Linked DNA regions of Caenorhabditis elegans. The protein of the gene in region 1 interacts with the protein of each later gene in a pairwise test. Each region holds a gene or a part of one and is shown in the gene's direction. Other genes may lie near its edges. The genes, in order: cye-1, cdk-2 and cki-1.

Evidence for each region.
Region 2: the proteins of cye-1 (region 1) and cdk-2 interact in binary tests that used the Caenorhabditis elegans proteins (3 or more experiments, as listed by UniProt).
Region 3: the proteins of cye-1 (region 1) and cki-1 interact in a two-hybrid assay, tested with the Caenorhabditis elegans proteins (one study listed by BioGRID).

What each region holds. Positions count from the first base shown.
Region 1 is NC_003279.8:6,777,292-6,787,774, forward strand, and holds cye-1 (G1/S-specific cyclin-E), read left to right. Parts: upstream 1-3,514; 5' UTR 3,515-3,529; coding exon 3,530-3,606; intron 3,607-3,695; coding exon 3,696-3,840; intron 3,841-4,511; exon of another isoform or gene 4,512-4,583; intron 4,584-4,699; coding exon 4,700-4,778; intron 4,779-4,821; coding exon 4,822-5,094; intron 5,095-5,228; coding exon 5,229-5,617; intron 5,618-5,876; coding exon 5,877-6,050; intron 6,051-6,091; coding exon 6,092-6,463; intron 6,464-6,523; coding exon 6,524-6,589; 3' UTR 6,590-7,105; downstream 7,106-10,483. Other genes in the region: pqn-21 (C2H2-type domain-containing protein), read right to left, coding at 1-91, 213-511, 1,225-1,463, 1,517-1,720, 2,147-2,356, 2,477-2,615; acdh-5 (medium-chain acyl-CoA dehydrogenase), read left to right, coding at 7,617-7,635, 7,810-8,127, 8,459-8,593, 8,641-8,993, 9,230-9,583, 9,630-9,779. UniProt on the Caenorhabditis elegans protein: Essential for the control of the cell cycle at the G1/S (start) transition. In association with cdk-2, regulates proliferation, quiescent state and cell fate during the development of several cell lineages.
Region 2 is NC_003279.8:3,406,667-3,419,151, forward strand, and holds cdk-2 (Cyclin-dependent kinase 2), read left to right. Parts: upstream 1-3,346; 5' UTR 3,347-3,358; coding exon 3,359-3,380; intron 3,381-3,456; coding exon 3,457-3,684; exon of another isoform or gene 3,685-4,729; coding exon 4,730-4,967; intron 4,968-6,345; exon of another isoform or gene 6,346-6,347; coding exon 6,348-6,414; intron 6,415-6,479; coding exon 6,480-6,638; intron 6,639-8,048; coding exon 8,049-8,306; intron 8,307-8,359; coding exon 8,360-8,404; 3' UTR 8,405-9,702; downstream 9,703-12,485. UniProt on the Caenorhabditis elegans protein: Serine/threonine-protein kinase which, in association with cye-1, regulates proliferation, quiescent state and cell fate during the development of several cell lineages.
Region 3 is NC_003280.10:7,807,166-7,815,100, forward strand, and holds cki-1 (Cyclin-dependent kinase inhibitor 1), read left to right. Parts: upstream 1-4,074; 5' UTR 4,075-4,093; coding exon 4,094-4,302; intron 4,303-4,359; coding exon 4,360-4,705; 3' UTR 4,706-4,940; downstream 4,941-7,935. UniProt on the Caenorhabditis elegans protein: Negative cell-cycle regulator that functions at the G1-to-S-phase transition. Required for suspension of the cell cycle in dauer larvae and starved L1 larvae.

The sequences.
Region 1 (10,483 bases):
TCGTTTTCCTTTTTGTTTATCACCTTTCCCGTCTTTCAGCACAGAACCACCACGAGCTCCACGACCATTTGAGCTTGCCGAGCTTGATCGTCTGAAATATGTTAACTATTTTTATTTTTAGCCAAAATGCAAACTATTGACTTTAGGAATTTGTAGTGAATAAACTTTATCAGCATTAATTTCACTATATGTCATTAATTATACCAACTCACCCATCTTTTCCTTCTTCATTTCCAGAACTACTTGCAGTTTTCTTTTTATTGTTATTGTTACCCATTGATGATGCAATATTGTTTGTCAATGAAGATGCCATTGGAGGTAGACCATCACCAATAAATCCAATAAGATCACATCCTTTTACACGGAATGCTAATGAATTCTTTGTTCGGTACATAACAGTAACCTCAAGAGTCATCTGGGATCCTGGTGGGGTATCCATTATTGCTTCATTGCATAAAAGACCAGATGTATCTGTTGATCGTGTTGTGATCACATTTGTTCCGATATCTCGCTGAAAAGTTGAATATAAAAATAATGAAATGTATAATTTTTCGTTTTTTAAAGTATTGATTCGTCTATTTGAATTCCCTGCAAAATGATAAGCCACGCCCACAAACGAAAAATCGTCTTCGAACTACGTTCATTCCGTCGATTATTGGTCTTGCAACTCACACTTTGGAGCAAATTCAAAACACTTACTAAAACTTAAAGAAAAACGTTTTGAAAGTAGAATTTCAACTTTTTCACTTAATATTTACTTTTCATTTGTGGTTTTTCGGAATTTCAGACTTACAGGCGCAATTTTGCTTTTGTTGCTCTAATATATGGTACCCGGTCTCGACGTGACAATTTTTTGTTAATTACAAGCATGTGTGTGCCTTTAAAGAGTACTGTACTTTAGAAATTTCGTTGTTGTTGAATTTTCATCGATTTTTCTCACAATTTGTGTTGAAATGTATGTGTTTTTAATTGTTTTTTAAAATTTTGTTATTAATAAATAAATATATTTTTATCGAAAACTAGGAAAAATCGATGAAAATTTTGCAGCAATGAGTTCTTAATTACAGTACTCTTTAAAGGCGCACACGTTGTTGTATTTAATAACATTGTCGTGTCGAGACCGGGTACCGTATTTCTGGTGCAAAAATCGCAATATTTCGCGTCTGTGGTGATGAAGCAAAATCTATTTTTTACAATTTTCAGAATTGATTTAATTTTTCTTACTTTTGCCCGTTTCGAATGTGGTGCAGTATCAGGTGTCTTCTGAATAGGCATCATTGGTACTGAAACTATGTCTTCGTCAGTGAAACATGCTGATATAGCAATGGTAGCCATATGAGAACTAGATCTTTTGGATCTTTGTGGAGTTGTTGAAAGGTTTGAAGATCCAGATGATGATGATGAAGAGGCAACTGTTTCAAGGCTTAACTTGCGTTTTTCACTCGAAAAAATATCTGTGGACTCTGAAATAATATTTAAATTTCAAAAAAAGCTCTTTAACTACGAAGATACAAACCTTTACGCTTTCTTTGAGCTTTTTCTGTGCTCTGTGGTGGTTTCATCAGTCCATTTTCCTTTTTGGAAGGTGTTGGACTTTTTGATGTTGTCATATCGGATGAAACAGGCGATTGAGCATGTTTCTCATCTGACATCTCTTCAACTTTTAAATCTTGTTCATCGATTAACTTCGGAGAGAATGATGATGTTGACTCAACGACAGCTGGAAAAATAAACCGTGTTTTTTCTTCAATAAATATTTTTTATCAAGTTTTTATGAGTATATTTACTTTTCTTGGACTCTCTGTTAAAATTTCGAACATTCTTCTTATATTGCGCTCATAATTTTTTTTTAAATGTTAATGAAGAGAGCTATTTGCAGTAGACTATCTAAGCAATTTAATTGTTAATTTTTAATTTTTAGTGCCTTCGCTTATCTATTTTGTTTTTAATAGCCTGAATTTCCATTTCCCTAGAGGATCTCTCGAAAGTTTTGAAATTATTTGAGCAGCTACGGTAGATGCGACTTTCGTGCATTTACGCGTGGCGGTGTTCACACTGATCCCAAAAATTTTTGTTTGAAATAAATTGCTTTTTTTTCGCAATCTTTCATTCTTATTCATTGCTTTTCCGTTTACCATTTTCATACCATTTTCATCTGTTTTTTCCACTTTTAAAAATTCTTCTCGCATTTTATCAGTAGGCTCGGATATTTGTTCGTCTTTGACAAGATCTTCTGGTTTTTCATCAATTTCTAGTTGTATTTCTTCATCAATTTCCATTGGTTCAATATCATCATTCTCATCATCCTCATCTAACTCGCCGTCTTCTTTTCCAGAAGTTTCCGCTTGATCGTGAGCTAAATGCAATAATTTTCAAGATTTACGAGAAATATTTTTTTTTTCTTAAAAAAAATTTCAAACGAAATTTCAAAAAATTATTTAGAAGTTTTTGTTAATCATTGAAACAAATAACGTACCGTCATAAGTTGTTTGAAATTCGGGGGTTTCCTGCAACGGTGGAGGAAGAGGTGGGGGCGCTGAAATCGATGGTTTGTCTTCCGAATCGGACGGACTTTCATCGATCTGTAGACGACCCTCGTCCTCATCGTCTGACATGTTGCTGAAAATTTGAAAATTAAAATTTTACAAAAGATTTAATTAAAGCAATAATCAAATTTTTAAAATACAATTTGAAATGAGAGAAATTTTAAAAATAATAGATATAGTTTTGAAGGTTTTGATACTTGAAAAACGTTATCCTTATTTGGTAGCTTATGAAAACAAAACAAAAACAACTGCAAGATGTGTTTCGGATGTTTTTTCTTCATTCTCTCAATTGTCTGACATCTCCGGAGGCAGTTGCTGTGCCCTCTATTGGTACGTGTCGATTGCCTGCGTCTCTGTGTCAAGAGGCACCCTCTCATCTCTCTGGAGACGGCAGAGAAACATGAGATCGTGGTAAGACCATCAGGGAGGACGGCGGCAAATCGGAGGGAACGCGCGAAATGAGCGCGCGATTTGAATCTAGAGACCATATGACGGAGGTTGTCTGTAGTTGACCTTTTTCGGTTTTATCTGAACTTTCACAGATTGATTGCGTAATGTCCACTAGACATTCGTTATGGTATAATTGATATTTCTTTATTAATTTTCATTAAATATCAGATATCAATCTCTAAATTTCAAGCATAGAAAGTATCGTGCAAACATGAACAGTTTCATGAGCTCAGTTTATATTTTAAATTCACACCTAATTCAAATCTTAAATAATTTTTAATGGAATAACTGCAAATCTAAATCTAAAACCAAAACGACCTTCATTCACTTGTACCAAATCTTATCTGATTTTATGAATTTAAAATCTTATTCTTCTTCACCTCTGACTGATAGTTTATGTTCTCCCTATTGTGTACACTCAAAACTGCACAACATTTGTTATTTGAGCCAGTTTCAGTCGTTATCTTCCTATTTATTTGTTTTTGAATATTTTGAATAGCTCGACTTGATATTTTCAGGGAAATTTGATCAAAATGGCTGGAAGAAAGTCATCAAGGACGGCTGAACGTGTCCCCACTACACAAAAGCCAGAAAGAAAATCTGCTATTTTGTAAGTTGAATTTAGATGGATATTAGAGAACTGATAATTTTTAGACTTTATAAATATTTATTCATCTTTCGAAAAATTTTAATTTTCAGATCTCCACATGACGAACTGCGTGAACGTCTTCTGGAGACTGCAATTGATATGAAGGAAAATATTCCACAACGAAATACCCGAAATTCGAGCGTTGGAAGTCAGAAATCAGATTGTTCTGAGACAAGAAAACGACGAAGTACTAAGGTTTGTGTGCTTATCAGTGAACATTTTAAGATGGAACAAGGGAAATGAAATAGAGAGTGATAAGAAAAGTACTTTTTTAAATTATAATATTACTACTTGTACAAATGCCTAAAGAGATTTTTGCTTCTAATTTTTCGAAAACCGTAAGAAAAACTGTCAAACGATTGCGGATTGTTACTAAGCTGAATGGGGGTAAGGAATACATTTTAATTTGCCAACAAAATTAGCAAATATTTCTAGATTTAAACACATTTTGCTATATTTTCAGTTTTGAATTTAACTTATTTAGGTAACAGCATTCATCCAGAAACACAATGTCTAACAAATTAATTGAATTTCGTGGGTAACTAACTAACAGTCAAACGCTCAATATTGAGTAGTCTGGGTTCTACAGGAAACATCTCTCGTTAAATAATTTGCAAACAAAGTTTGCACTGAGAAACAGACACTTTGTATTTGACCAGTGTAATAGTGCGCCAAAATGTACTCATTCTCCCGTTTTCTTTTTTCTTCTCTCATCTCATGTTCACACCAGCACCTCAGATTTGCGAGAAAATAAGACGCAGACATCGATAGTCATAGTGACCAGTCTCTTTCGTATGCAGAACACAGTTTTGTGTCCGCTTTGTATGTCCAATACTTGTTTGCCGTCTGAGTCTCACTGTTCATCTGGGGGTATAGCTCAGTGGCAGAGCATTCGACTGCAGATCGAGAGGTCCCTGGTTCAACTCCGGGTGCCCCCTAAATACTTTTTGCATTTTGGCTTCTGCTTAGAATCATGACGATCAAATAAGTTTCCTAAATTTGAACAAAATTATATAGTGGTTCAATCTTGTTTGATAATTTATTAATTTTACAGGAAGGTCCAGCTGCAAAACGTCATTCGGGCGAGAAGCATCGAAATGGTAGCCGCGAAGATTCTTTGGAGTATATTAGTGGTAATCTAGTTTTATTAGAGTAAAAATGATATTCTGTTTGAAGAATATTCAGATGATCGTGAAGTTGGATCTTCATCATCACAATCATCAAGAACCCGTGGACAACCACTTCCAGCTATGCCTGAGGAAGAAGAAGTGTTTGATAAATCATCTTCATCTGATAATCTTGCCGAATCTGAAGAAAGTCATGAGATGGTCCGATTGGAAGAGAGACAGGATATTGAAGAAGAAATTGAGGATGATTTTGATGATGAAGAGGAGGATGTTGTTAACGATAAAGAGGAGTACGAAGAAATTGAATCTGAAGATGAAGATGGTTAGTTTCAAAAATACTCATGATGCGTTTGAAATTATTAGCATTTTAGATCAAAATTTGATAAAAAATAGTGTCTCCAAAGAGAGTATCAGTGTTTCAAGCTGAAAAACCTACCCAATTTTGATACAATTTAGATTATCCTGTCCAAAACGAAGGATTTGCCGTTACAAAACGGCTCATGAACGACGAACATATGGTTACGGCTCCAACGTTTCTCAGCACAGCAAAATGCGATGGAATAGGATCACCAACAAAAGTTTGGTCTCTTATGGTCAAACGAGACGAAATTCCACGTGCTACACGATTCTTGCTTGGAAATCATCCGGATATGGATGATGAAAAGCGACGTATTTTAATTGATTGGATGATGGAAGTGTGTGAATCAGAAAAATTGCACCGAGAAACATTTCATTTGGCTGTTGATTATGTTGATAGATATTTAGAGTCATCAAATGTTGAATGTTCAACGGATAATTTTCAATTGGTCGGGACGGCTGCTCTATTTATAGCTGCTAAATACGAGGTAACAATCAGGGGTTTCACTGACACATTTTTCGTTTTTTTTTTTTAGCAAAACCGAAAAAAATTCTAAAACACTTCAAAATCGATAGTTCTCAAACGGAATTAAATATTTATATTACGATTTACACCCTTTTTCAAAAATCCAAAAAAACCGGCAAGCCTGGTAATAATTTTAATAAAATATTTCACCGATCTAGAATTTGGGTTCAATTAATTTTTTCACAGTATAGATTCACATTAATTTTTGTTTTTTTTTTCAGGAAATTTATCCACCTAAGTGCATCGATTTTGCTCATCTCACCGATAGTGCATTCACCTGTGATAATATTCGAACTATGGAAGTTCTTATCGTCAAGTATATTGGGTGGAGTCTTGGGCCAATCACAAGTATTCAATGGCTCTCAACATATCTTCAATTACTCGGAACCGGCAAAGTAGGATTTTAAATTTTTTGTTGATTAAAATATTTTTTCAGAAGAACAAGTCTGATCACTACGAAGAGCAAAACATGTACGTGCCAGAATTACTCCGTTCAGAATATCTTGAAATGTGTAAAATTCTCGATTTTCTGCTATTTGAGATCGACTCATTTACTTTCTCCTATCGTACCATCGCTGCTGCTGTTCTTTTTGTCAACTATGAGCCAACTTGTGCTGTTGAGAAGGCTACCGGATTTATGCAGGCTCAACTTGAAAAAGTTATTGAATATGTTGAACCGGTGTGCCGGGCGTTCGCCAAACAACGACAACTTCTTGACGATGTTATTCCAAAACATGAATCAATAAAATCGGATGATTCACACAATATTCAAGTATACGTTAAAAGGAGTTCAATGGAACCTATTGTGGTAGGTGGATATATAAAATTCATGAATTAGAGGTTGTTTTCATAATTTTTATTTTTCCAGAAAAGCGAACGAGAGAGGATTCAGCATTTAAAAGCTCGCCGTCTTCATCCGCAACGACTTTTCTAAAATAACCCGCAATAGGATTCTTTTATCATCGAAATTTCTGTAGATTACTTACTTCAAATAATCATGCACACAGGTTGTCCCCGTTAATTCTTTCCTTCAATCTCTTTCTCTCTTTCACCTAGTCTGTGCCATTTCAATATGATTGCACCCCGGAAAATATCAAAAACTTCACTTAACAAGTGATCCCATATTACAAAAATATTCAAATTCCGAAAATCGAAAGATGCATTTCCGTTTTATTTTACCGAATTTTGATGTTTTTGTAATGTGTTTAAACCCCTTTTACAATTAACTTATTAATGTTTTGTTTTACTCATCTCACTTCCCCTTCTTACTTTGTGCTTATTTTATGTTTTAGGTTTTTTTATTGTATCATAAAACTGGAAATTTTGAAATAGGCTTCTTTCTCCCTAAACTTTTTTAACAGGTACTGTAACTGGTACATATCCTCTGCCCCACCCCGCTCCCAACTCGTCTTTGTCTGTTTGTTTATACGAAATACAATTTTTAACGAGTATGCGGGTTTCTGTTAGCTTCAACAATACGATCATTCAAATTTTAAAATTAAGAAACTATAAAAGCACAGTATTTACGTGAGTTGAAACAAAATGCCTTCTCCAAATTTCTTAACACTGAAAAATTTTCGGAAAAAAAGCAGAAATTACTCCGCAAAAAATTAAGGACATCATTCCAATATTTTTTTTTACTTATTTGATGAAAAATTAATATATTCCAATAAATTAAAATGAATTATCATCTCAGGAATACTGTAGAATTACTTTAAGATTTTGGCTTATTTATATTAAGTGGTACGGTAGGGGTACTGTAGGTGTATTGCAGAGTTGTAGACACTGTAAATGAAATTCCAAAGAGCATAAAATTTATCAAAAAAAAGTTTGCGTGAATTTCTAATTAATGTTTAATCTTCTTTTTTTGTTAAAATTTGTTCAGGGTTTCTTATCAAAAAATGAATCATTATTTAGTTTCTTGGCTAAAACACTACTCATCTTCGTAGTTTCTTGCCGTGATGTTTCAAGCTTTGTTAAGTAAGTTTGAGTGAATTTCTGGTTTTGGTGGAATTTATTCTGATATCGAAAGCTCTATGTCTATTCAATCAATTGATGAAAATGCGTAAATAGGGAACTATGCACACACGGCGGCTCAGACTGATGAAGCTTTTCTAGTTTTGGAGAATGAGGTCTAATTGAGCAAATTTTCAGCAAAACTCAAAAATAATGCGGCTTTGGGAGCAGCTGCAAATAACTTGAACAAGTTCAGAAGTTCGAATCTTGGTAATCAGAGACGTTCTGTCTCAGTTGCTGTGACATCAACATCTCCGAAATCGGAAAAGCCAGTAGCCAGGGAACATATGATTTATGATGAAACTCATTTTGTCATGCAGAAGAGTTTGGGAAAACTTATCGAAGAAAAAATCAATCCAAATGTGGCAAAATGGGAACAAGACGGGCGGTATCCAGCACATTTGGTATTCAAAATGCTTGGAGATCATGGTGTTTTTGGTGTTAATAAACCAGAAGGTAATACGCTTTTTTTAGCTAACTTGTTTTATTAATTAGTTATCCATGCAATATTATTATTTGATTGGACTTTTCAAAACGAAAAAGTGTTACCACAAAAAACCAAAAGCGTAGATTTCAGAACTTGGAAGAATAACTTCCAGGTTACAATTAGAATATCAGAACACCAACTTTTTGGGTTCTAAAAATGTCAAGAGCCTGTAAAACTACATCATTCTAAAATGTTAAAAAGATAGTACTGGTGGGAGGAAAACCTTAAAGATACAAAAAACTGCAAGAATAATAGAATTAATACGGTGTGTTATTTCTCATTTTTACCAACGATTTTTAGCATTTGGTGGAACTGGAACGGATATTGCAATGGCAACAGCAATTGCTGAGCAGATGGGAGCAATTAATTGTGGATCAATTCCAATGTCAGTTATGGTTCAGACTGATATGAGTACACCTGCACTTGCACAGTTTGGTGAGTATTTCCGTTTACCACCAAAATTAGAAATAATTGAATATTAGGTTCTGATGCTCTTCGCGAAAGATTCCTTCGTCCATCAATCACTGGAGATCTTGTCAGTTCATTGGCTGTATCTGAACCACATGCTGGATCCGATGTATCAGCTGTGCACACACACGCACGTCGTCAAGGATCTGACTTGATAATCAATGGTTCGAAAATGTGGATTACAAATGGTGGTCAGGCGGATTGGGCGTGTGTTCTTGTGAACACATCAAATACATCGAATGTTCATAAGAATAAATCGTTGGTTTGTGTTCCATTGGATGCTGTTGGAGTTCATAGATCAACTCCACTGGATAAGTTGGGAATGAGAAGTTCGGATACTGTTCAGTTATTTTTTGAAGATGTTCGCGTGAGTTTTGAGACACAAAAAACAATTATTTCGTTTTCAACAATGATAATTTCAAAATACCAACAAAAAAGTTCACCACGAGTTTTGAATATTAGTTTTTCGTTGATTATTTGTGCTTGAACATTCTTGCATCAATTCAGGACCTTTACCTAGTTGCGTGATTACAGTACACATATTTTCACTTTTTAAAAGCAATAGTAAGAAATTTATTTCAATTTTAAACTAAAATCCTGCAGGTCCCTTCATCTTACATAATTGGAGAAGAAGGTCGTGGATTTGGATATCAAATGAAACAATTCAATGATGAACGTCTTGTAACTGTTGCTGTTGGCCTTCTTCCACTTCAAAAATGTATTGATGAGACAATTGAATATGCAAGGGATCGATTGCTTTTCGGAAAGACTCTTCTTGATCAACAATACATTCAATTCCAATTGGCTGAGTTGGAAGCAGAGCTCGAGGCAACTCGTGCACTGTTGTATCGAACTGTTCTGGCACGAAGCCGTGGAGATGATGTGAGCATGTTGACTGCAATGGCAAAATTGAAGATTGGAAGATTGGCTAGAGCTATTACTGATCAGTGTTTGCAGGTAACAAATACAAAACTTTTCACAATTTCTAAATGATATTTTATAGGTGTGGGGAGGTGCAGGATATTTGAATGAAAATGGAATTTCGAGAGCTTTCCGAGATTTCCGTCTTTTCTCGATCGGAGCCGGTTGCGATGAGGTCATGATGAGAATCATTCATAAGGCTCAGTCACGTAGACAACTGAAGAAGGCATAGGATTGATTTATTCCGTAGCTATTCTATTTTCCTTTCTGTAGTATTCTCGCAATAAAATTTTTTATTGTGTGTTCAGTGATTTCAGAGATCTTATTAAAGTGAAAAAGCCATCAAGGTTGACGCATGCCTACGTTCTAACGTCTACCTCATACTTGCCTAGGTGCCTACCTCATGCCGTCTACGCCATACCTGCTTATATCTTTTCAAACCTACAGGAAGCTTAAAGCTCCCCCTGATGCCCTGACTATCTAAATCCTTGCCTTATGATGCCTGCCTACTTTTATGTGAAACAGTTTTTATTTATTTTTTAAGTATTTTGAGATGTGCGTACTGTTTGGTTGTGAAAATTGCAAATTGTAATTGGTGAATTTTTATCTTGAAGAATTGAATTGTATACGTTAATGATAGAACAACTATTGTACAAGATACTTAATCGCGTACTAAATATAACATAAGTGTAGAAACGAAAATTTATGTCAAGTACAAACAGGTATGCGTCTTTAAGGAGTACTGTAGCTTTAAAACTTTCGTTAACGAGGAATTTCCATCGATTTTTCATAGTTTTTGTCACGACTTGTTAAGTAAAATGTATGTTTCTTTTTTAATTGTTAAAATGTTAGTTTTTTAATGAGTACATATGTTTTTTTTCAACGAAAAGCTATGAAAAATCGGTGAAAATTTGTACTTTAAAAGTACTTTAAAAA
Region 2 (12,485 bases), 3.4 Mb from region 1:
ATTCAAATTTTCTCAGAGAAAAATTTTCAACATCAACAAGCTTTTAGCCTTCCAGATAAAAATTTAAAAAATCACAAATAAAATTTAAAAATTCGCTAAATCTTTGGTCGACTTCCAAATAGCGATAATTGCTATTTTCCTGTGAATGAAAAAATTCGAAAACATTTTTGAAATGTTTTAAAATTTAATTTTTTTGTTCAAAAAATTTTTGTGAACTCATGCTTCAAACTATTGGAAAATTCCGGAACGGGTGAGAAAATAAGTGAATTCGTTTAGGTTATAAAAAATGAAAATAAAAAGGTTTTGATGTTCGACCCGTTCCATCTTCCAAGTTCTCTTCTCCCTTTGAACCATAAATTTCTTTTTCTCTTACACACCACACTTCCAAGGAGGAAGCGCCGAGCTCAGAACACAAGTGCAAAGTGTGATTTTCTTAACAAAAAAAAAAGAAGGAGGATAATTAATAAAACCATACCTCGTTCAGATATCTGTCAGCAGCTGGGCGCATAAGAAGTCGTTCGCTGAAAGAACAAGAAATTGAATAGAACGTATGTAACGGGATATGGCATCAATCAAATAAAGCGACGAAAAGCGTCATTTGCCATGAAAGGATGACCGCCGCCGCGCCCCGTACTTAATTGATATGAGATATGTATATTGGATTAGGTGAATACTGATTGTTGAACTTTTAGCATTGTAGCAAAAAAATTTTCAAATATGGTGTATACGGGAAGATAGAGGGTTTTGTTATGGAAACGCAAAAAAAATTGTCGTTTGAAATCGAGGTGCAAACACGCTCCCATGCCAAATGAAAATGCTCGCCCCCCAAACGTTGGGTCTCGTTAGGTATTGACGGCATATCCGTAAATTGAAATTTTTTCATTTATTTTTGAAGGAAAATTTCTTATTACCAAATTACCAGAGGTGAGCGGCAAACGGTTTGTGAAATTTATCGGGAAATCAGCAAACCGGCAAATTGACAATTTGCCGGAAAAAGGGCACTTGCCGAAACGCCAAATTGTGGCTTTGCACATTTTTTTTTGGAAATTCTAGAATTTCAATTTCAATCAGCAAAGGGGTCTTGAAAAGGGTCTTATAGAAAAATCCTCCAAATCGCCAAAACGGCAAATTGCGGGAATTGGAATTTTCCGGCAAAATTTAGCACAATTTGAATCTCAAAAATGTGAGCTTTTTTTTAGAAAGTTACATTTATCTGAAAATTTAAACGAGATATTATTGTTTTTTAATTTGCAAAATTTAATATGCATTTTTGAGACATTTTTATTTCAGATTTTCCACAAAAAGTCGAAAAAAAAAGAATTTTGTACAAAAGCTTATGAAAAAAATGCTGGTTAAAAGTGGAAAAATGAGCCGAGAGATTCGGTCACTCGAATCCATCATCTCGGACGCTCGAGAAAACACACACGAAAAAATGCTCATCAGGTGTTACAAGTTCTTTGTGCAATCAGGCGTCTGTGTCCAATATTCTTAGAGGGGGTAAAAGTGTGTGTAAAGTAACGGGAGCAACAAAAAAAATCCATAAAATCAGGAGAAATTACAAGAAGAAATGCATGAATGTAGACCGGCGAGTGTGGAGAAAAATGAAAAACGAGGAGAAGTGGAGAGGGAGACATCTGGAAATTGCCGATTTTAATTGAAAATTCGGAGGAAAAATGAAAAAAGTTGAAAGAAAGTGCATTTTTTCATTCAAATTTTGACTTAAAATTGCGATCTTGGGTCTTGAAACGAAAGAAAGTTTTCCGTTACCGTAACCCGTTCTACTAAAGGGGCACGGGTCTCGCCGCGATGAAAAGTTATGGTAGCTTTTTTTCAGAATTTTTGGGATTCTCTTGATTTTAAATGATTTTTTAAAAGTTTTTTTCAATAGATATTTTCAAAAAACTACCAAAAACTACCAATACGTGAACACAAAATTCTGAGAATGCATCCTGCACAACATATTTGACGCGCAAAATATCAAAACTACAGTAATTCTTTAAATGACTACTGTAGTGCTTGTGTCGATTTACGCGAGCGATTTTTGAAATGAAACTTAATTTTAATACTCTATCGTTGAATAAAAAAATATTTTAATTCATTTCAAAAAATCGAGCCCTTAAATCGACCAACAGTAGTCATTTAAAAAGGATTACTGTAGTTTTCGCTACGAGATATTTTGCGCGTCAAATATGTTGTGCAATACGCATTCTCAGAATATTGTGCTACTGTAATATATTTGTGTTTCTTATTCAGAAAAAACCAATATTATTAAATTTTCGAATGCATTTTTTTAACTAAGAATTATTCAAAAAACATGCCTAAATTCTAAAAATAGAAAAAAATCCGCAGCAATGAAAGTTTGAAATTACAGTATTCTTTAAAGGCGCGCACCCGTTTGCATTTCACTAAAATTTGTCGCGTCGAGACCAGGTAGTGTGTTTTTTTGCGAAAAATCGCTAAATTGCCCGTAATAGTAGTAGTAATTCGATCGTACCAGGACCCCATTTTAACTTGAATTTACTCGAGAAAATAGGAGTCTAAGCCTGAAAAAAAAACAAATAAATACATTCAATATATATATACACAAAATCTTAGAAAGCTGTTCTTTCGAAAAGACGGCGCGGTTAATTGAGAGTTTCCGAATGCGTCCAGATGCAAAATAATTGGATGTTGGAGATTTATTGACTTCCTTTTTTGTTTTTTTATTCCCCATTTCGAGGGGGGAGAAGAAAGTCAATAAACTGCGTTTATAGAATTCTCGTTTTAATATTAAAATTTAATGTCGAAAATAATTAGATTTTTATTCCAAAATCGCCTTTAATTTAACGACAAATAAATATATTCCAGAATATCCTTTGGAATTTGAATTCCCTCGGTTTTTCGCAGAGAAGGATTATCAGTGGAGCGTGATTGCGGCAATTCCTAAAAACAATTTTTAATTTGGTTCGCAGAGGCGTTAAAACGTTTTTTTAGCGATTATTAAGCCTAGGAAAGTATATAATTTTAAGAATTTTAAGTTTTTCATCAAATAATTATTGAAATTTAATTTTTTTTTTCATATTTTTAAATGATCACTACGGGTTTCCCTGTTCAAAAGTGTTTTTTTTTAATTAAAAAAAATTGTTAAATGTATCGATTCTTGTGCAATTTTATTTAATACCGCGTCCTTTCCTTACCACATTACACCGGTCACCCCCCGTAGACCGTCTCATTTGCCCTTTTGTCTAACCTGCTGCGTCTCTTGTTCTTTTTCGTGTAGCGCGGGAAAACAGAATTCAAAACCCGTCATTCTTTGAGAAACTCTTTACCGTTAAATCCTTTTTGAAAATCTTAATTATCTTCCAGAAAACAACGGGATATGACAACCGATATCGCTCCAGGTAAGCTTTTTTCCGAGATTTTCATTTTTTCAATATTTAATAAAAAATAAATAATTAAAATAATTTCCCATTTCAGAAAGAGACCTGCAAGGTCGCTTTTGCTCACTCCGGCGAATCGGCGAAGGAACGTACGGAGTCGTGTTCAAGGCGATCCACGTGCGTGACAACGTGAAATGCGCTCTCAAAATGATTCGCACCGATCGCGACGAGGAAGGCATTCCGAGCACGTGCCTTCGTGAAATTTCGTGTATAAAAGACCTTCAGCACGATAATATTGTGACACTTTTCGATATTATCTACGCAAGTGAGGCTTTTTTTGCTGATTAATTTGAAATTTGAAGTTTCAAATTTTAAATTTTAAAAAATTCATGAGACTCATAATACTGGAAAATCGGTGTGAAAATTGCTAAAAATTGATAAAAAGATATAAAAATTTTGGTTCAATCTGTAAGTAATATTTTTTTTGCGGAAAAGTTCGAAAAATCCCCTTTTTTAAGGTATTTTTCTAGGATTTCTAAAAATAAATGTTATTTTCAGATTGAACGACCTTACATTTTATGTTATTTTTTGATTATTCAAGTGAAAAAAATCGAAAAATTGAGAAAAAAGTAGAAAATCCCCTAGATTTATGAAAAATATGTTGATTTTGATGAGAAAAAAAGAATTTGTGGCCAAAATATTAGAGAAATGGCTGAAAATGCGATTTTTTCCCACAAAAAATCGAAAAACTACTAAAATGTTAAAATTGGTGTAGTCGAATTTTTAAAATTGCTTTATTAGACTCAAAATTGTCTGAAAAACCGAATTTCATACTGCTTGAAAACTTCTCAAAAAAAATGTTATGACGGCTCAAAAAAATGGCCTAAAATTCGTTAAAATTTGAAATTTGACCGATTTGCCAAGCGGTTGGAAACTATTTTTTTTTTGAAATCACCGTCAAATTTTGAGCATACGATGTAATTATCTTGCATTTTCAACTCGATTTAGGTATTTTAAAGTCGATGGACTGCGAGATTTGATTTTAAAAATTAAAAAATCTTTTCTCACCGTCCATCGACTTTAAAATACCTAAATCGAGCTGAAAACGCAAGATAATTACATTGTATACTCAAAATTTGACGGTGATTTCAAAAAAGTTAGTTTCTAGCCGCTTGACAAGTCGGGCAAATTTCAAATTTTAACTAATTTCAGGCCATTTTTTGAACTATAATAACATTTTTTTTGAGAAGTTTTCAAGCAGTATGAAATTCAGTGTTTTTAGGCAATTTTGGGTCTAATAAAGCAATAAAAAATTCGACTACACCACCTTTAAGTTTTAAATTTAAAACAATTAATTAATCAATTTCCAGACAGCAAACTCTACATGGTATTCGAATTTATCGATCGAGATCTGAAGAATCTTCTGGAAATGCTTGAGCCAACGAATAGTGTGCTTCCGCCAAACTATGTGAAGTCATTCATGTGGCAACTTCTATCAGCTCTATCGTATTGTCATCTCCGACGGATTGTTCACCGTGATCTGAAGCCTCAGAATATTCTGGTTTCAGATTCTGGAGTCATCAAAATTGCGGATTTCGGATTGGCAAGGTCAAAAAATGTTCTATAGATGTTATTTATGCTGCTGATACCGAATATTTTGATTTGAAAAAAAATTTTTTTTTTAAATTTCCTTTTATTATTTTTCAGGGAGGGTAGAGTTTTTGGGTATTTTGCTTAAATAGACTAAAACCGGTCCAAAACCAAAATTTTTTTATGACCGGTCAAAATTTCGAAAAAAAGAGCCAAATTTTGCTAAAATCTGAAATTTCGCACACTTTTCTTTGTCACAGCCGCTGGATTTTAGTTTTTCTGAAATTATCACCCTTCAATCCTTATTTTGGTAGATTATCTCGCGGAAATTCGTTTATTGAAACACATTTTGAGTCGATAGGCATCCAATTTTGATCATTTTTGGATGCCTATAGGTCTAAAAATTGTCTCAATCAACCAATTTCCGCGAGATAATCTACCAAAATAAGGATTAAAGGATGATAATTTTAGAAAAACTAGAATCCAGCGGCTGTGACAAAGAAAAGTGTGCGAAATTTCAAATTTTCGATTTTAGCAAAATTTGCCTCCTTTTTTTTCGAAATTCTGACCCGCCATAAAAAATTTTTGGAATTTTTTTGTGAAGTCTCTTTATGAAATTCGGTGGTTTTGGACCAGTTTTAGTATATTTAAGCAAAATACACACAAACTCTACTCCCCATTTAATTTATTAAAATCCAAAAATTCACCTATACACGTGTATTCAGCTCGACCAACGCATCGAAAATTTTCGAAAAAGGCGTGAAAACATATTTGAATTCGCCAAGAGGAATTTCACCGCAGCGCATGCAAAAATGTCTGCATTTGCGCGAGACGGTGTTTGCACAAATTACACCGAATGGTCGAGCTGAAAACACGTGCTATAGTGTTAACTTCAAACGAAAATATTTGGAAGATAACCGTGCCGCAGGTGTGGATTTACGAGATTCATATTTTTCATCCATTTGTATCTGATTTTCACCGCGATTTTTCTGATTTTCCGATGTTTTACATTGAAATTCTGGTGATTTCCACTAATGTATGATTTTTTTATTAATTAAAACAACCAAAATTTTTACATTTTATTTCCTTTCATTAGTAAAAATTGAAAAATTAATGAAAATCACAAGATTTTCAATGTAAAACAACAAAAAAAAATGAAAATCGGGAAATTTGGTATGGACATTTTATAAAAATAGATGAAAAATATTAATCTCGTAAATCCACACGATTATCATGCAAAATGTGTCGTTTGAATCTAACACTAGGTGGATTTTCGGATTTTCAAAAATTAATATAAAATCAGGGATTTTTTTTTGAATTTTTCACATTTATATTCGGTATCAGGAAAATTTTAATAAGGGGTTTGAATTTCCTAATCAAATTTTTTGTTAATTCCAGAAATTTCTCGTTCCCCAGTCGAAACTATACTCACGAGGTGGTAACTCTTTGGTATCGTCCGCCAGAGGTATTTTCAACATTCTGAAATTATTTTATTCAATTATTTAATTTTATTTAAAATAATATTTCCAGATTCTGCTCGGCTCGCAACGTTATTCAACATCACTGGATATGTGGTCGCTGGGATGTATATTCTCCGAAATTGCATCGAATAAGCCTCTGTTTCCAGGCGAATGCGAGATTTCACAGCTATTCAAGATATTTGAAATTGTTGGAACACCAAATATTAAGGTTTATACCGATTTGGAGAGGAAAATTCGAATTTAGAGTCCCAGAAGTACACTGTGAATAATTTGTGTTTAGAAAAACTGAAAATCTCTGAAAATATTCGATTTATGAGATTTAATTTTGAAAATAATTCATCACATTTCAATATCACTCATATGCGATATTTTGGCGATTTTAAATACGGCACAGGGTCTCGAAACGAGTGGTTTTGTGAAATGTGAAAACGTGTGCGCCTTTGAGGAGTACTGTATTTCTCAACTCCTGGGTTTTGCAGAATTTTTAAATATGGGATTTCGAGAGAAGCGCGAGATGAACTTTAAAAATCTAAAAAAATTTTTTTTTTCAGAAATCTTTCGCCTCCCCGAAATTTAGTGAAAAACTGAATTAAACCATAGAATACGTTTTTTCCGATTTTCAACAAAAAAATCGAGTATTCGGAAACGAAAAATAGTTTAAAATTTTGGACTTTTTCTTCGTTTTAGAGGAAAATAATCGAAATTTAGGTTTTATATCTTCAAATTTCGCGATTTTTGTTCCACTGAAATAATGTTTTTTTTTAATAATAAAATACAAATATATTACGAGAACATAAAATTCTGAAAATGCGTATTTCGCAACCTATTTGACGCGCAAAATATCTCGTAGCGAAAACTATAGTAATTCTTTAAATGACTACTGTAGCGCTTGTGTCGATTTACGGGCTCGATTTTTAAAATGAATTAAAATAATTTATTAATTTAAATAACGATAGAATATTAAAATTAAGTTTCATTTCAAAAATCGAGTTCCCGTAAATCGACACAAGCCCTACAGTAGTGGTTTAAAGAGTTACTGTAGTTTTCGCTACGAGATATTTTGTCAAATATGTTGCTCAATGTACGCATTCTCAGAATTCTGTGTTACCGTAATATATTTGTGTTTTATTATTTCAAAAAAAAAAAACAAAAATGGCGAAGTGTGAAAATATTATTCGGAAAATTGAATTGTTTTTCTTCCAAAAAAAAACATAAATTTCGATTATTTTCCTTTAAAAAGAAGAAAAAGTCCAAAATTTTCAACTCTTTTTGAAAAGATTTTTTTGTTGAAAAATCGGGAAAAAAAGCGTTTTATTTGAAAAATTAAATTTTCTCGAATACACTCTACACGGATTTCTGGCTTTCCTCATAAATTGAAATGGAAGAGTTTGCCGAACTAGACCATTTTGGCTCGGCCATATCTCGGGTAGATTTACGGTGCGTTGCGTGTCGCGTCGCAGCTCGATTTTAGTTGTAAAACTAAATGTATTTGTCCGTGTGAAGTACACGACTTTCCCACGGTGATTGTCGATGGAGCGCGAAAAATTTAATGAGGAAGGCCAGAACCCCGTGACTTTAAATTATTCAAAAAACTTTTAAATTCGAATAATTTTTGCAGAGCTGGCCAGGCGTCGACTCGTTTCCCCACTACAAGGCAGTCTTTCCACAGTGGCCGGTGAATTTGAAGAAGCTCGAAGAAACATCATGCCTGACTGGAAATGGTCTTGACGTGCTTCGTGAGATACTTCGTTATCCACCGGAGCGACGTCTCACCGCGAAAGGTGCTCTCTCTCATCGCTACTTTCTACAGAACGGTTTCACCCAAAACCGGCCGAGTGTCACTGATTTGATGAAGGATATCCGAGCGCAGAACAGGGTAAAGTTACTGGAATATTTGGATATTTTTTTAATGAAAAAAAATTATTTCAGACGCCACCGCTGCTGAACAATCATCAGGAGAAGTCAATCTTCTAATATATCATGTCCTCCATAACCTAAACATCGTGTACTATGTCCTCTCTTTTTACCGAGTCTTTCCTCTTCAAGGGTGTCATCGAACGAAATTATCGATTTTTTTGGGTTTTTTCAGAGAAATTCAAAAAAATCGAAAAAAAAAGCGCAATTTTTTAAATCAAATTTTGTTCATGTTGATAAGAAAAACACATGAGAAAACATATATTGTTCTACTAAAAAAGAAAAAAATTGCAAAAAATTGAGCTATTTTTGAAAAATCGGAAAAAATTGTTTTATTCAAAAAATTCAATTTTTCTAGGTTTTTATCATTTTCGTGAGAAAAAAAACATATTTTTCTACTAAAAAAATTATTAATTTTTTTCGTTTATTTTAGTGAGAAAAAACGTAAGAAAACATAATTTTCTTCTGAAAAAAATTACAAAAATTGTAATATATTTTTCGACAAATCGGAAATTTTTTTTTCCAAAAATCAATTTTTTTCAAAAAATCGGGAAAAAAAGTTTTATCTAAAAAATTAAATTTTTTCCCAAATTTTGTTGAGAGAAAACAGATTTTTCAACTAAAAAATGGTCAAAATGTTCAGAATTAAAAAAAAAATTTTTTCAGAAATTTGATTATTTTAGGAAAAATTAAAGTTGAAAAAAATTATCAAATTTCGATTTTAGAGAAAATCGAGAATTTTCGCTTTTCTGATTTTTTTTTGAGAAAAATAGCTTCAAATTTTGGTAATTTTTTTCAATTTTTGAAAAAATTACATGTTTTCTTATGCTTTTTTCTGATCCAAAAACATTTTTTTTTCAATTTTTGAAATTTCTCTGAAAAACTCAAAAAAAATTCGATGTCTCCCTTGCTCTCCACCCACTCTTTCTGCTTCATCGTTCATTTTGTATCATAATTTTCCCACCTATTTTGCTCCAGACGTTTTATCGCATTATTATTTTTATTATTATTATTTTGCTCCAAGGGAATTTCTACAAATATTTTTCATTAAAATTAAGAAAATTTTTATTTCAGTTGGAACAGCTGAAAAAGTACAAAAAATGACGATAATTTGCCGGTTTTTTCACCTTTTAAACTGAAAAAAAAAAAATCTTAATTTTAATTTTAATGAAAAATTTTGAAGCCCCTCACCTTTTTTTCATCCCGTATGGGTAGGCTTTTTCGATCTGTCACAATCATTTGCGGGTCGTCTGATCCTATATTCCCTGATTTCCCTCCACCCAAACTTTATTTTAATCGTTTTTTTCTTTTCCATTTCAATTTTATTATAGAACAAGAACAATAGGTTTCTCCTCTAACTTTTCCTTTTTTCATTCCTGTAAGAGTATACTCTCTTACTTTTCCCCCCGCCCGCCGAAAACCGCTCAGATTTGTGAGTGGATATAGGGGGGGATCTTTTCGCGATCTTCCCCTACCCCTTTGTTTGCTCAATGAGCCCCGGCTCAACACAAGCCGACAGCATCAGCACCAGCACCAAACCGCGCGTTTAATTGGTTCTCGGGTTGTGGAAAAGGTAGAAAAAAAAACTTCTTGAAGCTTCGATATTTGATATCAACTGAGCCAGCCAAAGAAAAAAATTGCGTGAAAAGGTGGAGAGTATTGGGAGAATGAGCATTTATTGAAGGTTATGTGAGAAATTGGATGAATTCGGGTTTTGAGTGGGTAATGAAGAACAAACAAACAAACAACTTGTAAAGGTACATTTGATTGTACGGATAGCCCCCGTGGGGAAACTTGTGTTATGAGTTGTGAAGCTAAACTTACAAAAATTATGTTTTACATTAAACGGAAATTCGTTTCGATTTTTCAAAAAATGTCAAGTTTAAACTCAAAACTAGGGTCCCTGGTCTCGGAGCGACAATTTTTCGTTATGCTGAAAAACGTGTGCACCTTTAAAGAGAAGTACTGTAGTTAACAAGTTTATTGGCAGCGATTTTTCATTTTAGTCTATTACGGGAACACAGTATTCTGAAAAACAGCACATTTGACGCGCAAAATATCTCGTCGCGAAAACTACAGTAATTATTTAAATGACTACTGTAGGTCGATTTACGGTATCGATTTTTTAAATGACTTAAAATTTTATCGGTAGAATATTAAGAATTATGCAAAAATGAGAAAATAAGGCTCATTTCAAAAGATAGAGCCCGTAAATCGACACAAGCGCTACAGTAGTCATTGAAAGAATTACTGTAGTTTTCGCTACGAGATATTTTGCGCGTCAAATATGTTGTCCAATACGCATTTTTCCAAATTTTGTGTTCCCGTAATATATATTATTTAATTAATTTAACTTCATAATTTAACTTCAAACTGCAGTTTAGCAATACATTTTTTGATGAAACGAGAAATAGTTTTTAGTTTTTACACTATGAAGAATGGAGGAAATTGAGGAGCACTCGCGGTTACGGTAGCTGAGAAGCTTTGCTCGTTACGGGACCCAAGCTTTCAGTTTCGCCTGGAATACGCACAATTTTTCGCAGGTTTTAGTGTCTTAACTGGAATTTTAACTGGAAAATTAACGACTTTAAAGGCGCGCGCATTTATAAAAAAATGGTCCCGTCATTGGTCTCGCTACGCGCTCAACAAATCAATGGGATGTGCGTGGCGAGACCATTGCGCGAAAATGCGCGCGCCTTTAAAGTCGTAGAAGTGGGAAAAAATGCACTGTATGAAAAATCGACGAAAATTCCACAGCAAAGAAAGTTTGAGACTACTCTTTAAAGGCGCACACCCGTTTGTACTTTACAAAAAATGCGTGTGGAGACCGGGTAAATACCGTAGAGCTTTGTTTTTTTTTCTAGTAAATTTCAAAGTTTTGCAGTTTTGGTTTCTCCCGATCTTCACCAAAAGAAAACAACACAAATTACCACAAAAGCTCTCTGTTTGTTAATGTCGGTATCGAAACGAGCTATCCAAATATCAAAATTTCGCAACAAATTCTCCCTTACCTCTCTTTCTCTTTTCGATTTCTTCACACATTTACCTGATCAAATTATGTGGGTGGTAGAAATGTCAGTTGGTCCGTTTCCCCCATCCGACACTTTTTTCTGTTATTGTCGTCATTTCAAAGGACCTCGGAAAAACAGATGAAAAGACAAAACACAGCCAACTTCCTGTCGGGAGGGGGGAAGCTCTTGATCTCCGATTAGCTATTCTCAAAGTTTGCGAGTTTTTAACATGAGACAGACACCACACAAAGACAGGCTACAAAAGTTACCGAAAAATGGGGGAAATCAAGTCATGGATGATGTCATCGTATTGGGAAAAGAAGCGAAAATTTTTGAAAATTTGTAGTTAGAATTAAAGCGATTTTTAAAGCCGGCAAGTCGGCAAACCGGAAATTTGCCGGAATTGAAACTTTCCGGCAAATCGGCAAACCGGCAAATTGTCGGAATTGAAATTTTTCCGCAAATTGGCGAATTGGCAAACCGGCAATATGCCGGAATTGAAAAATTCCGGCAAAACGGCAAACCGACAAACTGCTGGAATTGAAAATTTCCGGCAAATCGGCAAACCGGCAATTTACCGGAATTGAACATTTCCAGCAAATCGAAAATCCGGCAAATTGGCAAACCGGCAAACTGCAAACTGAAAATGGTAGCTAATATCGAAATATTTATATGGTACAATATTTTTTAAAGAAAACTGCCAAGTTCATTCTAAAATTACCGATTATCATAATAAAACTGTTCGACAAATTTTAGAAATTCCTTTATTTCGGGTCTTTTGCTGTTCGGCAAATCGGCAAATTGCCGGTTTGTCGATTTGCCGGAAACTTTCATTTTCGGCAAATTGACGGTTTGCCTATTTGTCAAAAATGTTCAATTCCGACAGTTTTGCCGGTTTGCCGATTCGCTCGAAATTTTGAATTCCGGCAATTCGCCGGTTTGCCGATTTGCCGGAAATTTTCAATTCTTGCAAATCGCCGGTTTGCCGATTTGCCGAAAATTTTGAATTCCGGCAATTCGCCGATTTGCCAAAAATTTCAATTTCCGACAATTTGCCAATTTTCCGATTTGCCGGCAAAAATCGTTCGCCGCCACCCCTGCTCAATATTTTGGCTAGTTGCAAAGGTATC
Region 3 (7,935 bases), on another chromosome or scaffold:
GAAATGATTGAATTTGAAAAAAATCGAGAGAGATTTTTTGAGAACGCGATTCTAAAATGTTCAGTCGTTTTTTATTTCTGAAGGCTTTATAAAAGTCTTATGCGATTATTAAACCTAAATCATCCAAATAAAAAGTAGGGCACAGTGACAATAATATAAATTGGCATGGGATGGGTGAACTTATGAAGTAAAGTATCTGAGAAGGTCAAAATAAAATCTCCGTGTTGATACAAATTTAAAATATTATGACTGAAATTTTAAAAAACAAAAAAATATGGCTTGTTGATTTTGCGTTCGTAATTCTGTTTCACGGAAACTCAACAACTTAAACTATAAAATTACGTGCCATATAATTATATTTTAAAGTAGCTCTGATGTCGTAGACGACGCCCGTCTCAATCATGCCTGCCTGCTTTCTTAGTTACCTAACAAATATTCTCTACATTTGTAGAGCTTGTGTTTTTACTAACGTAAATGCATTGTAGGCAGGTAGGCAAGAGTTGTATGCCTATGCATCAAACTTAATCAAAGTTGACTACAAACACATGTTTGGTGGTCCACGTTCTATGCTTCCTGTAATTTGTCTTTCTGTTTGTCAAAATTTTTGGTTAGTCAGTTGTTTGCACATATTAAAAAAAACGTTCGAGAATTTAGAGTACAACATTGTAAAAAGCCATGAGCTCGGAGCCATACCCCAAACCGCAAACCACTTAAAAAGAACTCTTCGAACGTGTCACAGTTTCTTGAAAACCCAATTAATTTCCATCAGTTCGTTGTTGCCTCCCTCGAAAATTAGTTTCATCTTCTCATTTCTCACCGAGTGGCACAAGTGGTTCGGAACTCAAAGACAAAAGAAATTACATGAATTTGACAAAATTTATTTCTTTTATCCGGCCTCCCAGTTACCCCACATTCAACATGTGTGTTCGCAAGAAAATGTTGCTAAAATGTTTATGTTTTTCTTCGCAAATTCCTTTTTCCCTCAACATCTTTTGGCGGGGATCTAGGCGGGAAAACGGTGTCAATGGATGAGATGAAGCCGCTTTTTTCTCATTCATGAAGTTGTTTGTTTGTGTGCTGGGAAAACCGTTTCAATTTTCAAGAGATCTGAAACCCGTTTCGGCATCATATGATCTGAGACGATCCCTTGATGAAGATGATGATGAATTAGTCGGTTTTAAGACGGTGTACTCACAAGAAGTATTTGAGATTTCAATATAAAGATAAGATTCTAAGTAATGAAACAAACATGGAAGGGATAGGTTAGTGAAAGGGAAAATGCAGTATCAAAGTACTAAGAGAAAGTTAGGTTAGAATTATTTATTGAAGGGTCTGCAAATTTTGAAATTTTAGATTTTTGTTTTAAAAAAACTATGCGATGTCCTTGTGCAGCTGGGCTGTAAAATTTTTCCTCTAATCTACAAAACTGCAAATTTGAGCACGTTGATCCTTTTTTAAAAATAAAAATAAACTTGGCATAGAAATATTGGAAAAATTTCAATATAAATCTATGTTAGTTTTTGATTCGAAAAGTTGAGTTATCATTTTGAAATCAGCAGTTCTGTAGATTTGCCAAAAATATTTTTTGCACATCCTTGTTCAGTAACCATTTCGACAATTTATTTTCAACATGACGTTTATTTCTTAAGAACTATCATTCGCTTCTTTATGTGCATATACATGTCTTTTCCATTTGGAGCACTATTCAACTTATTGATAAGAACAACCTGCAGGTCGTCAGTCAGCCACTTTCTATTCAACACTTTCAAAACTTTCTATCACTTGACAAATGTACAGTCACCGAGCAAAAAACCATATTTCGTGGTAATACTTTTTCAAAATTTCTCTCGCTGATAACTGCCAGAACCAAACTGAAGTACTAGAGTGCTTCAAAAGGTGTTACATTATTACCCAAAATTATTATAACGATAGCAGTAATCTTATCAACAAATTTCACGCCAGAACCTAACTTTCCACCAGTTCCCGTACTATTTTCATGCTTCAATCATACCAACGAAATAACACAAAAGTTGCGATGATCGGGTGGTGGCGGGGCAGCGATACTGATGCGACACGCTGCGTCTCTATTTCTTCAGCACTCTCTCTGTTCTTGGCAACGTGCCAAACACCAGGGGCGGCGTCGAAACGGAAAATATGGGCGGAGCGAAGTATAGAAGAGACGAGCTGTCTCTCTCGCATTTTGTTCGTTTTCCGCCCCCTTGTAACTCGCCGATATGTTTATTGGATCTGTTCTTTCCGAAAAGAAGTAGTTAACAGGTGCGGCTTCACTGGGTGGTCTCATTTTTCATTTTAACCTGTTAATTTATTCCGGCTTCACCTCTAATCCTTAATGACATTAACATCTTCCTAATGTGTCTAAGCTTTTCCCACGGAAAGCTAATTTCCTCTCTCTTATTTTTCTCATTACCGTTCTGGTTGAGCTTCATCTTATACCGTGAATGGTTTCATAATTACGTGCTACATAATTTGTTATGCTGGTCGAGGCTCAACGTTTCGAACATCTGGCTCTTTTCCTTCAGCTAACCACACCACTCTTCGTTACAATCCCTTCTGCGCACACATATCCTATCTACCAGCCGGACAGATGCTCGTTTCTCGGTGCAAAACGTTGAGAGTTGAGATCGAGCAGCCGGTTGGTAGTTCTTAATGACAAATTGCCAAGACTTTTTCTGAATTATTTTAGGATTTAAAACTTTTCTAAAGTATTACGATAGTTCATAATTTCTTTCTTTTTTAAAAATTGGCTCTTTTTTGTAATGTATGGTATCTAACTAAAACTAGGCCTCATTTCCATAACTATTCTTTAAATTGAGTTGAGCTCAAAGAGCTTAGACAGAACTGGTGTGAATCATAGAACCCACCTGTGTTTTTACTTTCTTTGAAAAATGTCGGTCACTTAGTCGTCTCTCTGTCTGTTCCTTTTCCTAATCACAAGTAACAACACACAGTCTTCTTTCACATATATTATTTGTTGACCAATCGTAGGGTCAACTATCTAGTACTCGAGACCGCCTATTTGAACAGAGCTCCTCACTGTCACCAAATGTACCGTATTGCTTTCCGGCTGTTATTGTTGTTATCACTGCTTCTTCTTCCTATCATGTTACCCATCCAACTATACACCTTAGACTAGTCATCTTATTGATATACATTCCTCCCATCCAACACAACGGTATTCTATTTATTTATCCAATTAGTCATAGTCGTACCACCATCCAGCACGAAGGTGCCTCTTTAGTAAAGAGTAGAAAGAAGAACCGGATGGGAAATGTTTTTGTTACAAAAATGACACATATTGTAGTGGACAGAAGGAGTGAGACAGACATGAGCAAGCCAATTTGTTTATAATTTCTCTTCTAGAAAAAAATACATTTTTCCATACTTCACTAGTCAAAACCTTTCACCTTTCTAATACATCTCGTAAACCATAATCTTGATAGTTCTGAGCATTTCAATACGAAAGCTTCTCACTGTCTAGATCTCTGACTGAGTGCCCTCATCAAAAGTGCAATCTGTCATCTGTTTCCTCATAATCACGGAGCACTAATTTTTCTCTCTGCGTCTCTATAATCAGATATCTCTCGTCACTAAGAACTTTCCGAAATGTTTATGCTTCTCATCTGACCACTTCGGTTCCGCACAAAAAAGTACGGCATTCCAAAAGAAATCTGATCCCCCTCCGTTCATTCGTGGTCCGAGTCGGTGCCACCAGTCGTTGCGCATTGAATATTTGTTTGGTCCGTTCCCCTTCTTCTCCGACTGCTGACCTCGGGCACTTTGATGACCGGGCCACCACCTCAGTACCCCTCTATTACACCCTCTTTGCCTCCGCGCATATGACTCCACCCCTTCTCGTGGAAGGCGTGTATCTCCCCTCTTTTCCGCTATTCCCTCGATGGATATATATTCAAATGTATGTGTGTTCCTGACGGGAGGGCGTCTCGCTTGAGAGCATCGTCACATCTTTTACAATTTTACTTATGATTTTACTTCATCTTCTTCTTCTTACTGCGATTTTGATATGCATTCTTATGTAAACTATTATTATTCCAGGTTTCCTCACTCTTTTCAAATGTCTTCTGCTCGTCGTTGCCTTTTCGGTCGTCCGACGCCCGAGCAACGCTCCAGGACTCGAATTTGGCTTGAAGATGCTGTTAAGCGCATGCGCCAGGAAGAAAGCCAGAAATGGGGATTCGACTTTGAACTGGAGACTCCCCTCCCAAGCTCTGCTGGATTCGTTTATGAAGTTATTCCAGAGAATTGTGTTCCGGAGTTCTACAGGTAATTGAATTTTATAAATTTTTCATAGTTATTTTACTAAACAGTTTCATTTTTCAGAACCAAAGTTCTCACTGTCAGAACCACATGCTCATCGCTGGACATCAGCTCAACGACTTTGACTCCATTGAGCTCTCCGAGCACATCTGATAAGGAGGAGCCCTCGCTGATGGATCCCAACAGCTCGTTCGAAGATGAAGAGGAACCGAAGAAGTGGCAATTCAGAGAGCCACCAACTCCACGGAAGACCCCAACAAAGCGTCAGCAGAAGATGACCGACTTCATGGCAGTTTCCCGTAAGAAGAATTCGTTGTCTCCAAACAAGCTGTCTCCGGTGAATGTGATCTTCACTCCAAAATCTCGTCGTCCAACGATCAGAACTCGATCTTCATGCTCTCCATACTAGAGGTTTCATTTTGACTTTTTTTTGCCCAATTCCACGGGTTGAATCTAATCATTTGATTATCTCCTCGACAGTTTCTGAGTCTCTCTTAATTGTTCAACTAGTCATGTTTCCACAAATGTTTTATTGTTTGTTCCAAAAGCCCTGTGATCCATGTTTAGGAACTCTGTAACTCTTTTTTCCCATTGCCATTTGTTTTAAACAACTCAAAGAAAAATAAACCCTTTGAAATTATTTTAAGAACTGTATTCTGGTGTTTTCTTCAACTTATAAAAAAAAAGACGAATAGAAACTGGCACACGGTGCAGTTCCATTGGTAACTTCAGCAAAGAATATACTGAAATCACGAAAAGTGGTACAATTCCGCGCATAATTTTGAAACTTCTAACATTCTTCATTAACTTCAAACTTCAAACATTCTGTAAATGTTGTAAGATCAAATAAATCTTTCCCGGTTCACCCACTGCCACCCAAATAGACATTGCGTGAAGATTGCGTGAATTTTAGGTAGCTACCAGCCGGATTAGGCTTCTCTAATTCAAATTGAGTAATATGGAACGTTTATGAGTATATGCTAATAATAAATAAGCATGTTTGATTACTAATTACATAACACCAAGTCATCATATCAATGGACCTTCTCTAGTCCCATAAATCATTTTTATTGCATAACTTTTTCTGAGAGTACATTATCAACATCGTCCTCCTCCCTTTTCTTATATTTTATGTGCTATTCAACCCAGAAAGACAGTTCCCCACGAGAAGACCTTGGAACGGACTTTTTATTGCGGTTTGCATTCAATCTCCGAGTAGACATTTTGAAGAGGGAACGGGAGGGCTATTACGTGGCGTGGAGGGGCACTACGTCCCTCTCCGGGATCGTTCGATGATCGATGGAGAAGAACAGAAATTTATGTGACGTGGATAGAGAGATGGAGCTAGTGGTTTGGAGTAATGAGTTATGTGGTTTTAAAGTGAAAGAATTGAATAAAAGGGGAATTGAAATAGCTCTTCAAAACGTTTTGAAATGGATCAACAATTTCTGAAAACTTTCTTCTGTAAAGAATCTCTATATATATTTTCCGTAAGAAATTGTTCATTTTTAAATTTTTTCTAAAACTAATTCTCTAAATTTTTAATGTAGTGTGTTGTCAACGGAGAATACTGTATATCATCGAATGGTATTGCACCCTACTACTTTTATTATATTAAAGTTATCATTAAATAATAAATTACGAAACTATAGAAAAAACAAATAATAAATATTTTGACATTTGACAATTTTTTTATAAGACAAACGGCAACTGAGACATAAACCGTTTCAGTTTAACAATATGGTGCAATAGTAATAGAAGAAATACGGTATGTGCTTTCTACCAAAATATATTTTTTGCAGTCTTTCGTTTGGTAGAAATTCAAATTTGTGCTCCAATTCCCCATTCATTATATTCATTGAATATTCTGTGAATAGGTATGTCCGTTAAACAATAGTGAGTTGAATAACCTCCTGTGGATTAGTGTTGGCATGCCATCTCGCTCCGCTGGATGACCTCTCTCAATCCGGTCAAGAGTGGGACATGGTCCGTATGCAATCGATCCTCACACATTGTAACGTTCGCGTGAAGAATGGGGAAAGAAGGAGACCTATGTGTGCACAGATGTGTCAAATACGCACTTAAACGTTGTTTGGAACAGTTCTCAATCTGTTCCTACCCTCTCTCAACCAGCTGGTACCAATTGCAATCCAGAAATAAAAGAGTGAGAAAATGAAGTGATGGTGGTCGATAAAGTGACGCCTGATTTACGGTTGCGCCACACAGTTAGCTTGATGGTTTTATGAGGTTTCCACTGGATTCATCAATCCTTCAACTTTATAGACTCCCATTGAAAAATAGACATGACACATTTGGCGTTGTGCCAAACCAAAAAAAGTAGAAATCATTGTTTATCATCGAAAAATGATGACGTTGGAGAACCTTTGTTCGGTAGAGAGAAGCGATAAGAAACTGTTCACGCACGAGGTTTTTAGTGGAAAAAGTATCTTTGCAAAAACTTTAACTCAAGATCAGTGTGACAGGCACTGGAACTGGCTTAGTGGGAGTTCTGAAAAACAAATGTGAGGAGAGAAATAAGTACCGTATACCTAGTCCAGTTGTCAATATATAACATTTTAAGTTACAAAGATTTTTAGAAAGACACTAAAAGAATACAGTACATAATGTGAGTCTATAAAACGGTGAGATGAAAGGCTTAATGTTTTGACAATCGTCTGTCTTCTTTGTCATCGGCTTCTTCTTTTGCATGCACACATCAATATTATCTATGCAAACCGGCTGCCAACAAGGCATAAAAAGGGCAGATGTATTCTTTCGGCTTCCGTTTTTATTCATCATAAACGCTCGCCTGAACGTATGCAAATTTGGCGGTTCCTTCCCCTTATCGAAGAATACACAAGAGGGAACACCCTTGTGTCGGTAGGGTCAAGTCAGTACATAAATCATCGGAATGCCTATAGATGGACCTAATTAGATTGCAATATGCGCAAACATTGTCTGTACTCTCCACTTTTTGCTCAATGTTTTCCTTTTAATTAAAACAGGCGGCACAATATAGAGACATTTGATGTGTATGAAAGCGGATAGAGACAGACGATGAGCGAAAGAAGAGGAACCTAATAATTTATGATGTTCCGACATCGGTTTTTTGATTGATGACAGGATTGTCGGCTAGGCGCGGAAATAGTGCGGAAAAGGAACATCTTGTTCTGGTATTCTGAAGAAATGTATAATTACACATACGTTAGAACAGTTTTCTTCAAATCGTTAGGAGGGGTTCTGAAATTGAAAATTTTACTTTTAATGTAATTTGGGACTGACTGTGATCTAGGTTAACACTGATAAATCTTGCAGAACTGTTTTATTTTATTAAATGAGACATTACCGATCTAAATAAATTTACAATCCCATCAAACTTTCTCCTTTATCCTCCAGAATCCCATCATTTTCATCGGCACTTCTTCAAAAGTTTAAATGTGAGTGACCGCCCGTCTCGCTCTACTAATCGTATATGCAAATTTTCTTTGATATCATAGAACCTGTCATACTTCTCCAAGTATATGAAAGACAATTAAAACTACTGAGAGAAAGAAGTAGTTCGCGATAAAAAAGTACATATAATACACCTTTTCACCTAGAAGAGATGCTTTCAACTTCTACTTTTCTGGTCATATGTAA